Caenorhabditis elegans: one gene and its partner. The protein of the gene in region 1 interacts with the protein of each later gene in a pairwise test. Each region holds a gene or a part of one and is shown on either strand. Other genes may lie near its edges.

Region 1 (6,613 bases):
TCCATAAATAAATATATTTTTATCTAAAAACTATGAAAATTCGAAGGAAATTTAAATTACAGTACTGCTTAAAGGCGCATACCTTTTCGAACTCCACAAAAATTGTCGTTCCGAGATTGAAAATCGAATCGTTTTTTGGAGCAAAAATCGCTAAATTTCGGTTTATCTGATCTTACCCGATGCGTCAGCCACTTTCATTGAAATAATTGTTCCCGTCTGTGTTCTGCGATGAATCCCTTAAAATTTATTCATTTTTATAAATTCTTTCTGAAAATCAAAGGATACCTGGATCTAGAACAATTACAGTAACCGAAAACGAATTCATGTTTGGCTGCAATTGGTGGAGAGGTATGTCACCGGACATCTGAAGAAGATAAATTCAAAAAAATTGAGTTATGAAGTTTTTCGAGGATTAAACTTTGCTGTGAATATTAATCAAAATCTACAGCAGAAGAGATCCGAGCACAACGACCATCAAAATTTGCGATCTATTGAAAAGTAATTGAAATTGGGCTGTTTATGAAAGCTACCTTCTGACTAAAAAAACAATTACAGATTTAATTTTAACAGAATAAAACACGTGCAATACATTCATATTTCAGTTCTCAATAAATTAATTAAACAAGTTATACGAATTATTTCGATATTATGGCATAATTGACTGTTTCAGACTAGAAATATCATTAACGAGCATTTCTTTGGCCACTTCGTCGCCCTTGTTCTTGATGCAAGTAACTACGCCTTTTTGGCATGCCTGAAGTAGGTCGAAGACATTCTGGAAATAGATATTCTGATAGATATATAGATGTTTAGTATTCTATTACCTCGGGGCATAAATCCTTAATTTGAGCAACAAGTTGAGAAACAAACTTTCCGCTGGCAGTTGTTGGGCGTCCAGCCTTGGCTAAAATATAAAGAACAGACAGAAGAAGAGTTGTTGCTGGCTCCGTTTGAGAACAAAGTTGCTCATGAAGTTCCGCTGTAATTTTAGCTCCAACTTCGGCTCTGAAAAAATTTGTTTTTTTTTAAATTTTAAATGTCACTTTTTTTCTAAAAAAAATATACTTGAAATTGTGAAACAATTTCAATTTCGATCAATAATATTTAAAAATTGCAAAATTATTCGTATTTCGCTTTTTTTTTCAAAAAATTCGAATTCAGCCCTGTTTCCAGCAGCTGCGACAAATTTTGAAATTTAAAATTTTAGCTTATTTTTTTCCAAAATTTTAACTCACTATAAATAATTTTTAGATATTTTTTGGAAAGAATTATGAAAATAATTTTACCTTCCTTTCTTGTCGACTTTTTTCAGTGCCAACGAAGTTGCACTTGGAGCCGAACAATTATAAACAGCATCATGAAATTTATCCAAAGCATCATCATCTGTAGATTTCAGCGACGCAAACACTGATCGAATCGGATCTCTGAGCATTTCAGGAAGGTTTTCAATTGTTTCTTCTCGCTGTTTTTCCTTCAATTGGTGTGCATTATCTACTCCCATAACATATGAAAGCAACGCCAATGCAATTTCATTTCCAACTGTTTTCAGAAGATATTGCCGAAGATCTGAGCCAAGGGGATCTGAAATTCAAAATAAATTATTTTTCTATTCAGTTTTAAAGTTTTTTCTACCAGCAAAAGTGGAAGTAGCCGTCTCAAATGTGTTAAATGAATCGTAAAGTTGTCTACACTTATCGCCGATTGCAGACAATGACTTTTTGGAATTAGCGACGCTGGCAACCAATTGATGTGCTTGAATGTCTTGAACTTTTTTGCGAAGTAGCGTTGTTGTCTGAAACATAAAAATTATTTATTTCTGAAGAATCCATGAGATGGACCTCTTGATTCAACTTTTCCACAATTACTGAAAGAATTTCTTCGGGTACTGATTGACTTTCACGAAGCCATATTTCCAGTTCCTCACTATTTATGGAAATATTCGCCGACAAATTGGATGAAGTTGAAGGAGCAGACGATTTCGAACCACCTTTCACACTTTTTGCGTTTTTCTTTCCTCCTTTTCCACCTTTCTTTCCATCTCCCCAGTCATCCGTCTGAAAAATTAAATAGTTTTTTTTCAATTCAATTTGTATACCTCTTCTTGAACTTTCACTGCTGCCTTGGCTCCGCCTTGTTTCTTTTTCTCCGCTTCTAATCGATCAACTTCCTCATGTGCTCTGACGTCCAACAATTTGTCAATTGAACGCAGAGCTTCAGTCAAAACTGCTCCCTTGAACACAAAACCCTCTGCAAAATGCGAATCTTTTTCCACATTTGCAACTTTTGACCCGATTTCATCCTCATCAGCAGTATCTAGAGGAAGATTTAGAGATTGAAGAGCCAAATGCACGTCGGATATTCCGCTTTTTTGTAAGTCTTCTGAAAATTTAAAAATTCAATTAAGTAATAAAATTCAAAACAATTAAACAAAAAACCTTGAACAGCATTAATACATTGATCCATGAGTTCTTTTGTCATAAACATAGATCTCATACTGACAAGTTTTTTGAATTCAGATGATCCAAGAACTTCTTCGAGAGCTGGTTTTGCATCTACTCCTAGAGTTTTTAGAGTTGAAATTTCTGGAATTTAAAGAAATTAAAAGATAAACAAATAGATGATCATACCTAAAAATTCATTCTGTCTATATTGATTCAAAACGCACGACTTCACAAGATGATCGTACATCATTGGACGATACGAGCAGGAAGGTGATGTACGAGAACCGATTAAAGTACCAGGAATTTCGCCGAGAGATTGAAGATTTTCGAACGCAATCCAAAATCGTTTCGGTGTGAGACCAACTCGTTTTTGGATAGTTGAAATAGGAGTGATTCTGTTTGGAAAAAACATTATTTGAACGGCAATGGAAAACAGATTCTCACTTAGTTAATGCAATCAGAATAGCGCGTAGAACCAATTGTCTGGCATTCAAAAATGAAGAAGTATAGATCGTATCCCCATCAACCACTCCTTGAAAATCAGAAGATCCCAATTTTTCGATTAGCAAGGATTGCAAAAGTTCCGATGATAGATTCCAGTGCTTGCAGAGTGCTGCAGTTGTTTGATTTCCTTGCTCATCGAGAAGTGTACGCAATTCGTTACGAAGACGATGTACGTATTCACTGAAAATTTATATTTTTTGAGTGTTCAATGAACAAATGATTTTGTCGATTTGCAATTTGCAATCGACACGTAACAATAATGAAGTCAATGTGTTCTTCTTTGTTCTTTTCCGAACTTTAGGCCTATCTAAATCACGTGAATAAACTTGACCTACGTCGCGAATATCTCTGCATTCGAAATTGTAAATTCATCATCAGTCGAAACAATCAAGCGCGAAGTCTTCTCGATATGATCGAAATCTATGTTAAGAGCAACTGCGATATCAGTGAGAGAAGCACGTCCTCCAGCGGCTATGCACTCGTTTTTTATCTGAAAAATGGATTGATGAACTTGAAACTTTGGAAAATATTCAGCCTGTGTAATTTTCCAATTATTCTGCCAAAATACGGTAGCCGGTCTCGAAGCGACATTATTATCTTATACACAAAGAGCAACGCGCCTTTAAAGATTACTGTAATTATTCGTGTGTAGATAATATTTTCCAGATTTTCAAAACGTAAATGACACATTTTTGCTTACAAATATTTATTTAACTACTTTTTTCTGTGATACTTTATAATAAAAATTAATTGTTCTTCTTTCATATTTATTCCTAACCGTAAATTTATCCTCAATAACAAATCGAAAACCAAGGCTGCTGTCAAAATGAAAACATGATCACATGTTTTGCTGCTTCCAGTTTATTCTGTACTCACATTTCTGCATTTGTGTAAACATAAAAGTTCATTGCGGTCAACAAAAAGGCGGAGTTTGTGAGAAAAAAAAGAAAGAATAGATAGACATTTTTATTTTCTCAAACACTCAACAATGCCCAATCCATCTCCCGCAATTCTAATGCCAAAGTCTATATTAAAGAAACCTGATCAAGTGAGCCTAAGCTGTTTGGAATGTTAGTATTCTTTTAAAAAAAAGGAAATTTCAGAGCCAACACGAGTCACCATCAAATTCTCCAGTTTCTCCATCACCCCAAGAAGTTCCACGTGGCAAAAAAGAATGGTGGCTTCCATTTAATATACCATTTCATAATGAGATTTTTCGAAAAAATTCAGGGTTCTGAAATTTAAGAAACGACTACATATTGGTCTCATCTACCAATATTTTACTTTTATTTTCATTTTTTTTTTTTGAATAAAAAATTTCTGCCCTCTCACCTCAGTTTCCAAGTGGTTTTTAGTTACATAACTATGCCCATCTCTAGTATAGACCACGTCAATTCGATGAGAAGCGATAAGTTTTTGAAGGACTTCAATGCAATTCACCTCGGAGAGCCTTAAAGAATAATTTTTTAAAATTATTCTACAATTGAGAATTTTAGTGAAAAATTGTTAATACAGATGAGATAAATAATTAAATTTTTGATACTAAAACCTTATTAATTTTTTGTTGTTTTTAGGGCAAATGGTGTATGTGCTATCATTTAGTATCAAATATATAAAATGGCCAAGAATCAATGATATTTCTCACTTTTTAGATGATTGTGACAGTTGAACTCTCTGCAAATCTGATGCAAGTTTCTGAATATCTGCCCAGGAAGTCATCTGAAATATTTACCACTTTAATATATCAAATGAAAAAGAAAGAAAAAGAAATGAATCGATGGATTTTTAACCGAACTTTTAAGAAAGTGAACACAAATACGATGCTATACACTTTTTATTCCAATACCATGAACCCATATTAAGGCAATAGACGATTTTAAAGACTTCAACCCATTTGTTAAAATAAAATGTACATGTAAATAAATAATCACATAAAATTAATTCAAGCATTCCCCGCTTCTTCGTTCTGATTTTTCTCTTGTACAATCGCCGAACGTGCATCTTTGTCAAATCGATTGACGACTTCTTGTAATCCGGTGAGATCAGCTTGTGAGAATACAAGATTTTCCGCATAGCTCAGGAAATATTTAGCATCATGATAGATTTGTTGTTTGATTTTATCGTCATCAGTAACCGTGGAGCCAGAATCAGTTGTGGTTTTCCGTTTGAATCGGGATAAAGAAGATCCTGTAGCTTCGACACTATCCAGCACCTGAAAACAAATATTTTGTTGCAATTTGCATCAATTGGAGTGGTTTATAAACTTAGCGGGAAAAAAAATTATCTCATGTGTCCAAAATAAACGTTACCTCGTTCCCTTTCCCCACGAAATAATTGAATGCTGAAAGATTAACTTTTCGAACAATTTCATCGGTGTGAGGATGTTCTTCGCAGCTGAAAAAAATACGTACAAAATTTTGTGGAAGCAATATAAACTACCATAGTTTTTCTTTCAAATTCTCAACCATTTCAATAGCTGTAACAACATATTTGGAATGCGTTGTCGGTGGTGATTTCTTCGTCCATCTGTATTGTTTAGGAACATCGGAAACTTGAGCAATTTCTTGATGAAGAACTTCGGAGAACATTTCAATAATACTATCATCAATTTGAACACAAAGACTATCAATTGATCGACCATGCTTTGTTAGGCATTGACCGAATGGAGCGGTATCCACTGTGATATCACTGAAAAAATGATATCTAAATGTAAGTAAGTATTTAAATAAACGAACTGAAATTTTCCCCAAATTGACTCCAACGCGAAATCGAAAACCAATTGATGAAGATTTCCAGTATCCGAGCGGAGAGTAACCATTGAAGTCCAATCTCTTTTTTCTTCCATGAAATAACTAGAAAACAAAATATTTTTCGTGAAGAAGAACTTTTAATCTAACTTTTTCATAGTTTGACTCCACGAGAAATGCTTTAGCAAAAGCTTCAATGTGAAATCCCATAATTTATCAACAATAGGAGGAAGATACACATCATCACTCCACACATGCTCAATTGCTGTTATAATTGCTCTTGAAACTCCGCAGTGCAGCTGAGGAGTGTTTTCTCGATTTTCAGAAGTTTCTGGCTCGGCAAACATTTCGGGAGACATCAGCTGATCGCACTGTTTTCCGAATCGATGTGTTTCTAATTTAAAATAAACTAATAAATTGAATTTATCCCTGATCGACTTAAGCATTGCACGGCAGGTATGAGAAGATGGCCAATTATCGATAAATTCTTGAGTGAGCAAGAAACATTCATGGAAAAGTCGTGTGTCACTTGGGACTGCGACGGCTCCCATACACTGAAAATACAAATAATTATGAATATAAAAAGTTATGAACGGAAACCTTATCAATAAATGTCAGAATGAACGTGAGAAGGGTTTCGTCCAGAAAACGGCGGATGTTTCCACGAAAATGTTCAGTCCCCATTTTTTCAGCCCAAGTTTCACGCATTTTTTTGACGCTTTCGAAGACTTGTTTCAAGAGTTTCAACTGATTACTTTCGTCGTGTTTCTCATTTACAAATTCGGCATACAAAAGATCAGAAACCAAGAGGGCAGTTAGTGAATGCGTACTCTCCGTTAACGATAAAATTGAATAAATGAGAGGAAGATTTTGACAATCACCGGCGGCACTTCGAACTCCTTCTGCACAGAGAACCGCTTC
Region 2 (7,882 bases), on another chromosome or scaffold:
GGTGTCAAATCTGTTCAGAATTCTACGGGCATTCTGAATTTCATACTGGTTTCCATTTCCGAAGCCTATGTGTTAAGTTATGGCCCGGAAACTATTTGCTTCTGGCCTAAAAGCCTGAAAGTAGAAGTTTTCACAAAAATTCTCAAAAGTAGATAACTTTTAGGTCAGAATTTTGTGCAGAATCTGAAAATTCAGTCTAAATTAATGCCAAACTAACAGGAAAATCTAAAATTAGAAAAAAATCCCTTAGGAAATTCCAGTTTTTTGCAAACAAAAAAATCGGAGCACTTGTTCTATTGTCTAGAAAATGTCAAAATTATGTTTGCGCTCATCGTCAAGACAGTATCACTTAAATCAAGTAAAAAAGCAAATATCTCGCCGAGGTAGTAAGCAAAAAACGAGAAGCTTGGCTGGGTAAATAAATTAATTTTTAATTTAACTTTTCTGGGAGGGACTCAAAGTTAAAAAAAAACATTAATAAATTAATTTTTACTACAATCAAAAATACAATCATTTGGGTGCAATTAAAAATAAAATCAAATAAAATCCAAAAAACAAGAAAAAAAATTTTGAAAAAAATTTCAATTTCCTCCCAGCGCCTGATTGATTCCGCCCATCAGATTGACACGTCGACCGTTGTATTTCTTCGAAATTTCGGCTTCAATTTGTTTTTGGAGCACACGTGTGCTCTCCACAATCGTTTTCAGCTCAACGTTGGATTTGGTGACCGATTGGCGGGCGGTTTCTTGATTTTCAGTCATTAGGGTCTGCAGGCGCTTGTAACGATGCTCCATGTCACGTTTTTTTTCGAGTTCCTCCACTACTTGCTCCACGTATCTGGAAAAAGGCAAAAATTAGATTTAGCAGCTCCAAAATGTTGTAGTTTGTAGTCTAGCAGCGCCCAAAATTGAATTAGCCAATTTTTGGTTAAAAATGAAAAAAAAAACCTTTTTTCGCAGATTTTAAATGCAAAATTTCAGTTTTTCGAAGTACTTTTTCGCATTTCGCAGTAATTTCACATTTTTCAGTACAAATTTTGCACTTAAACCTTGAGAATTATGATTTTCTCAACAGTTTTTCCAAGGAAATGCGAAGTTTCGTGCTTTAAATCAGGAATTTTGAGTCAGAAAACATTTTTTAATCGGAAAAATATCGATTTTTGTTTGGAATTATTGATTTTCAGAAACTTTTGATGTAAAAATACCACTTTTAATCAATTTGCAAGCCAAAAATGTGTAGTTTGTAGGTTAGCAGCGCCCAAATCTTGTAGTTTGTAGGTTAGCAGCGCCCAAATCTTGTAGTTTGTAGTTTAGCAGCGCCCAAAATCGGTCAGCAGCGCTCAAATCTTGTAGTTTGTAGTTTAGCAGCGCCCAAAATTGTATTAGCAGCGCCCAAAATTGAATTAGCAGCGCCCAAATCTTGTAGTTTGTAGTTTAGCAGCGCCCAAAATCGAATTAGCAGCGCCCAAAATTGAATTAGCAGCGCCCAAATCTTGTAGTTTGTAGTTTAGCAGCGCCCAAAATCGAATTAGCAGCGCCCAAATCTAGTAGTTTGTAGTTTAGCAGCGCCCAAATCTAGTAGTTTGTAGTTTAGCAGCGCCCAAATCTAGTAGTTTGTAGTTTAGCAGCGCCCAAATCTAGTAGTTTGTAGTTTAGCAGCGCCCAAATCTAGTAGTTTGTAGTTTAGCAGCGCCCAAATCTAGTAGTTTGTAGTTTAGCAGCGCCCAAATCTAGTAGTTTGTAGTTTAGCAGCGCCCAAATCTAGTAGTTTGTAGTTTAGCAGCGCCCAAATCTAGTAGTTTGTAGTTTAGCAGCGCCCAAATCTAGTAGTTTGTAGTTTAGCAGCGCCCAAATCTAGTAGTTTGTAGTTTAGCAGCGCCCAAATCTTGTAGTTTGTAGCTTAGCAGCGCCCAAATCTTGTAGTTTGTAGTTTAGCAGCGCCCAAATCTTGTAGTTTGTAGTTTAGCAGCGCCCAAAATCGAATTAGCAGCGCCCAAAATCGAATTAGCAGCGCCCAAATCTTGTAGTTTGTAGTTTAGCAGCGCCCAAAATCGAATTAGCAGCGCCCAAATCTAGTAGTTTGTAGTTTAGCAGCGCCCAAAATTGTATTAGCAGCGCCCAAATCTTGTAGTTTGTAGCTTAGCAGCGCCCAAATCTTGTAGTTTGTAGTTTAGCAGCGCCCAAATCTTGTAGTTTGTAGTTTAGCAGCGCCCAAAATCGAATTAGCAGCGCCCAAAATCGAATTAGCAGCGCCCAAATCTTGTAGTTTGTAGTTTAGCAGCGCCCAAAATCGAATTAGCAGCGCCCAAATCTAGTAGTTTGTAGTTTAGCAGCGCCCAAAATTGTATTAGCAGCGCCCAAATCTTGTAGTTTGTAGTTTAGCAGAGCCCAAAATCGAATTAGCAGCGCCCAAATCTAGTAGTTTGTAGTTTAGCAGCGCCCAAATCTAGTAGTTTGTAGTTTAGCAGCGCCCAAAATTGTATTAGCAGCGCCCAAATCTTGTAGTTTGTAGTTTAGCAGCGCCCAAATCTTGTAGTTTGTAGTTTAGCAGCGCCCAAATCTAGTAGTTTGTAGTTTAGCAGCGCCCAAAATTGTATTAGCAGCGCCCAAATCTTGTAGTTTGTAGTTTAGCAGCGCCCAAAATCGAATTAGCAGCGCCCAAATCTAGTAGTTTGTAGTTTAGCAGCGCCCAAATCTTGTAGTTTGTAGTTTAGCAGCGCCCAAATCTAGTAGTTTGTAGTTTAGCAGCGCCCAAATCTTGTAGTTTGTAGCTTAGCAGCGCCCAAATCTTGTAGTTTGTAGTTTAGCAGCGCCCAAATCTTGTAGTTTGTAGTTTAGCAGCGCCCAAAATCGAATTAGCAGCGCCCAAATCTTGTAGTTTGTAGTTTAGCAGCGCCCAAAATCGAATTAGCAGCGCCCAAATCTTGTAGTTTGTAGTTTAGCAGCGCCCAAAATCGAATTAGCAGCGCCCAAAATCGAATAGCAGCGCCCAAATCTTGTAGTTTGTAGTTTAGCAGCGCCCGAAATTGTATTAGCAGCGCCCAATTCTTGTAGTTTGTAGTTTAGCAGCGCCCAAAATCGATTTAGCAGCGCCCAAATCTTGTAGTTTGTAGTTTAGCAGCGCCAAAACTTTTTCCGGCAGTTTTATCGAATTTTGGTCGAATTTAGTGATTTTTCGGAGTTTTTCTGCAGTGAAAAGGCGATTTTTAATCATAATCATAATAAAATGTCATATTTTCAGTTGGTTTTCCTCCCGAAACCACTTGAAATTGCAAACGCACTGCGGAGATCCACGAATCTTGAACAAGTGCACTTTCTGCGGATTCTCCAGCTCCTTCAAAATCCCCTCCACTTCCGTAATCCACGTCTTCAGGCGCTTCTCCGTAACGGCTGCCACGCCATCGGGACGTTTTTCGGCTCCACGGATCAGAACATCGGCCGTCGTTTCTCGAGTTTCATCGTCCAAACGCATCGAGAGAAAGGCTAAAAGCTCGATGAGCTCGTGCTTCACAGCTTTTTGAGCTTCCGAGTTCTCGAGAAGGTGAAGAGCATCCTGGCCTGAAGCTATTGCCTCGCCGACTGCTCCAGTGTCATCTGCTACTAGGTCGACTACTGCGGAAAAATCAATAACCGCATCGTCTTCTGCAGCAATTCCGAAGTCAATTTCATCGCCGCCGCCGAAATCGATCTCATCCGAGTCCTCAGCGGCGGTCAGGAGCATCTCGAAATTCGGTTTTTCCACTTTATCCGGCTTCTGGTTATACTTCCACTCATAAGTCGTCACGTCAAGCCCCCGCTCTCCAATTAACCCGATTATTGGAAGAATCGGAGCAGCATCCTTTGGAGCAGCTCCCAGGCTCATATAGTCCCGGAAGGCCTGAAAGTAGTCGCGGGCCGCGGAGATTTTCCGGATTTCCGCGGTGATTTTCTCGTAGAACGCGGGGAGATCTGCGGCGAGTTCGAGCAGTTCTTTTCGCAAATGAACACCTTTCAACTGCATTCTGGAGATTTCCTTCTCGAATTGTTTCCGGCCATCTTCGGCTTGTTTCCCGTATTCTGAGTGTTTCCTGATTGCATCTGTCACGGATTGATCCATCTTGGAGATTTGTTTCCGCAAGGCCGGAATCTCGTATTGGGCCAGTCGCTGGAGAATTTGGGCCGCTTCTGCCAGGTAGACATTGTCTTTTTTGTACATTCCCTCGATTTCCTGCCAGTCCTTCATACGCTGGGAGGAGTAGAAGCCCAGAAAGTTTTTCGTGTCTTTTTCCGTGTCGCGCAGGATTTCGATGATTTGGCAGCAGTGGAAATAGTTGATATCTGGAAAAAAAATCGAGTTTTTAGCTTAAAAACTGAATTTTTGGCAATTTTCAGGTCAAAAAAAAATAAATTGAATAAAAATCGATTTTTTGAAGATTTTTACGGCAAAAATAGCATTGTAATGCATTTTTCTAACTAAATTTGGCGAAAAATAATTTTAAAAAATGTTATTTTATCAGGTTTTTGCAGAAAAAAAGTTTGGCGCTGCTAATTCAATTTGGGGCGCTGCTAACACTACAAACTACAAGTTTTGGGCGCTGCTAATTCAATTTTGGGCGCTGCTAACACTACAAACTACAAGTTTTGGGCGCTGCTAATCCGGATTTCGAGCTGTTAATGGGAATTTTATCGAAATTTCTGCATTTTTTTCGTAAATTTCGGCACGAAAACTAAATTATAGTCGGTTTTCGCCGCAAAAATCACAATTTTATATGTTTTTCTGACTGTTTTTGGTGCAAAACTGAATTTTTGGCAATTTTTAAATTAAAAATTGAATAAAAATCGATTTTTTGAAGATTTTTACGGCAAAAATAGCATTGTAATGCATTTTCCTAACTAAATTTGGCGAAAAATAATTCAAAAAAATGTTATTTTATCAGGTTTTTGCAGAAAAAAAGTTTGGCGCTGCTAATTCAATTTTGGGCGCTGCTAACACTATAAACTACAAGTTTTGGGCGCTGCTAATCCAGATTTCGAGCTGTTAATGGGAATTTTATCGAAATTTCTGCATTTTTTTCGTAAATTTCGGCACGAAAACTAAATTATAGTCGGTTTTCACCGCAAAAATCACAATTTTATATGTTTTTCTGACTTTTTTGGGTGAAAAACTGAATTTTTGGCAATTTTTAGATTAAAAATTGAATAATTACGGCTTTTTTGACAGAAAAATTTATTATTTTTTCTATTTTAATGATTTTTCTCGCTAAATTTGGCGAAAAACGACTAAAAACTGTAATTTAATTGGATTTTTCTCAAAAAAATGGTTTGGCGCTGCTAACATTACAAACTACAAGTTTTGGGCGCTGCTAATTCAATTTTGGGCGCTGCTAAAACTACAAACTACAAGATTTGGGCGCTGCTAATTCAATTTTGGGCGCTGCTAAGACTACAAACTACAAGTTTTGGGCGCTGCTAATTCAATTTTGGGCGCTGCTAAAACTACAAACTACAAGATTTGGGCGCTGCTAATTCAATTTTGGGCGCTGCTAAAACTACAAACTACAAGATTTGGGCGCTGCTAATCCGGATTTCGAGCTGTTAATGGGACTGTTATTGAATTTTTTGCATTTTTCCGTAAATTTAAAAAGTAAAGGTAAAGGTTGTCCGTTTGGTTCAAGGGTGAGCCTAAGCCTCCTGCGGACAAGAGAGATTTTATTCGTTTTTCTGACTGTTTTTGGTGAAAAACTATTTTTTTTAATCAGATTTTTTGCAAAAAAAACTTGGTAGTCGAGCCTTTTTGTAGTTTTTTAACAATTTTTTGGTCTTTTTTGGGCAAAAAACCAACTAACACGCTCCTTGCAGCAGCTCCACGATTTTCGGCGACTCCGGCATGTCCAAAATGGCATGTTTGATCTTTTCTCGAATCGCCACCACGCTTTTTTGCCAATCTTTGTTGCAATGACGACGGGAAACCAGCCAATCTAAAGTTTTTGCGGTGTTTTTTGGGTTAAAATTAATGGATAACGAGTTACCAAGCAATTTACTGCTGTGAATATCGATTGGCAAGTCGTCTGACATGATTTTTTATCTGAAAAATTAAAATTTTAACTTAAAATTCAATTTTAAATTCAGAAATCTCCCAAAAAAAGAAGAAAATTTCGATGGAAAAATACACGTCAGCCACTGCGTAAATCGACACAAATTTAAAGGCGCATGCGGTTTCGTGTGTGTTGGGTCTCGCAACGCCCGCATTTTTAGGTGTTGATTTGAAATGAGTTTTCCTTTTTTTTTCGTCTTTTTCACTCGAATTTCATGATTTTCAGTTGATTTTCAATTGATTTTTTGGTTTTTTTTGCTGAAAATTAATTATTTTTTGATTAAAAAGCTTTTCGAACAAGAAAATACATGAATTTTGGCCCTAAAAGTGGATTTCAGAGCATGTGGATCTCACATTAATTAATTTAATAATTAACCTTTTTCCAGCGGGACAATGAGTACCGAAAACGGGAAGTCCGCAGATGCGCCGGTGGCGGCACCGGCTGCAAAAGAGTTGACCAGCAAGGACTACTACTTCGACTCGTACGCTCACTTCGGTATCCACGAGGAGATGCTCAAGGACGAGGTGCGAACCACCACCTACCGGAACTCGATCTATCATAACTCGCACTTGTTCAAAGACAAAGTTGTGATGGATGTTGGCTCGGGAACTGGAATTCTTTCCATGTTCGCCGCCAAGGCTGGAGCGAAGAAGGTTTTCGCGGTGAGTTTTTTTTGGATTTTTTGAACGGTTTTTAAAAATTTCCTTTTCCTTCAGATGGAATTCTCCAACATGGCGCTCACCTCCCGCAAAATAATCGCCGACAACAACCTGGACCACATCGTCGAGGTGATTCAGGCGAAGGTAGAGGACGTTCACGAGTTGCCAGGAGGCATTGAGAAGGTCGATATCATCATTTCCGAGTGGATGGGATACTGCTTGTTCTACGAGTCGATGCTCAACACTGTGCTCGTCGCCCGCGATAGATGGTTGGCTCCGAATGGAATGTTGTTCCCGGACAAGGCTCGTCTCTACGTCTGTGCTATCGAGGATCGTCAGTACAAGGAGGACAAGATCCACTGGTGGGATTCAGTCTACGGATTCAACATGTCCGCTATCAAGAACGTCGCGATCAAGGAGCCACTCGTCGATATCGTCGACAACGCTCAGGTCAACACCAACAATTGTCTGCTGAAGGACGTTGATTTGTACACCGTTAAAATCGAGGATCTCACGTTCAAATCGGACTTTAAGCTGAGATGCACTCGCAGCGACTATATTCAAGCTTTCGTCACCTTCTTCACCGTCGAGTTCTCCAAGTGCCACAAGAAAACCGGATTCTCGACTGGGCCAGATGTACAGTACACTCATTGGAAGCAGACCGTCTTTTATCTTAAAGTATGCGCTTAAAAATAACTTTTTTTCGGGTTAAATACCATTTTTCAACAGTTTTTCACCAAATTTAGTCAGTAAATGGTAAAAACTTCGATTTTTGGGCTGAAAATCGACCTTTTCACAGTTTTTGAAACAAAATTCGCCAAAAAATTAAGAAAACATGAATTAGCAGCCCCCAAAACTCGTAGTTTGTAGCTTAGCGGCGCCCAAAACTCGTAGTTTGTAGTTTAGCAGCGCCCAAATCTTGTAGTTTGTAGCTTAGCAGCGCCCAAAACTCGTAGTTTGTAGTCTAGCAGCGCCCACAATCGTAGTTTGTAGCTTAGCAGCGCCCAAATCTTGTAGTTTGTAGCTTAGCAGCGCCCAAAGCTCGTAGTTTGTAGCTTAGCAGCGCGCAAAACTCGTAGTTTGTAGTTTAGCAGCGCCCAAATCTTGTAGTTTGTAGCTTAGAAGCGCCCAAAACTCGTAGTTTGTAGTC

What was found. The genes of interacting proteins can lie anywhere in the genome.
Region 2: the proteins of ufl-1 (region 1) and cdkr-3 interact in a two-hybrid assay, tested with the Caenorhabditis elegans proteins (one study listed by BioGRID).

What each region holds. Positions count from the first base shown.
Region 1 is NC_003282.8:7,032,196-7,038,808, forward strand, and holds ufl-1 (E3 UFM1-protein ligase 1 homolog), read right to left. Parts: upstream 4,665-6,613; coding exon 4,591-4,664; intron 4,396-4,590; coding exon 4,278-4,395; intron 4,277-4,277; exon of another isoform or gene 4,184-4,276; coding exon of another isoform or gene 4,049-4,183; intron 3,994-4,048; coding exon of another isoform or gene 3,934-3,993; exon of another isoform or gene 3,928-3,933; intron 3,436-3,927; coding exon 3,281-3,435; intron 3,126-3,280; coding exon 2,886-3,125; intron 2,837-2,885; coding exon 2,628-2,836; intron 2,583-2,627; coding exon 2,436-2,582; intron 2,380-2,435; coding exon 2,096-2,379; intron 2,055-2,095; coding exon 1,839-2,054; intron 1,793-1,838; coding exon 1,633-1,792; intron 1,582-1,632; coding exon 1,287-1,581; intron 1,006-1,286; coding exon 825-1,005; intron 776-824; coding exon 647-775; 3' UTR 501-646; downstream 1-500. Other genes in the region: nabp-1 (OB domain-containing protein), read right to left, coding at 177-236, 286-364; C06G3.3 (uncharacterized protein), read left to right, coding at 3,934-3,993, 4,049-4,183; cogc-2 (Conserved oligomeric Golgi complex subunit 2), read right to left, coding at 4,888-5,157, 5,255-5,339, 5,385-5,633, 5,681-5,797, 5,843-6,246, 6,293-6,613. UniProt on the Caenorhabditis elegans protein: E3 UFM1-protein ligase that mediates ufmylation of target proteins.
Region 2 is NC_003283.11:20,268,288-20,276,169, reverse strand, and holds cdkr-3 (CDK5RAP3 protein homolog), read right to left. Parts: upstream 6,064-7,882; 5' UTR 6,054-6,063; coding exon 6,008-6,053; intron 5,957-6,007; coding exon 5,825-5,956; intron 4,317-5,824; coding exon 3,281-4,316; intron 838-3,280; coding exon 582-837; 3' UTR 438-581; downstream 1-437. Other genes in the region: prmt-1 (Protein arginine N-methyltransferase 1), read left to right, coding at 6,466-6,735, 6,790-7,410. UniProt on the Caenorhabditis elegans protein: Substrate adapter of E3 ligase complexes mediating ufmylation, the covalent attachment of the ubiquitin-like modifier UFM1 to substrate proteins, and which is involved in various processes, such as ribosome recycling and reticulophagy (also called ER-phagy).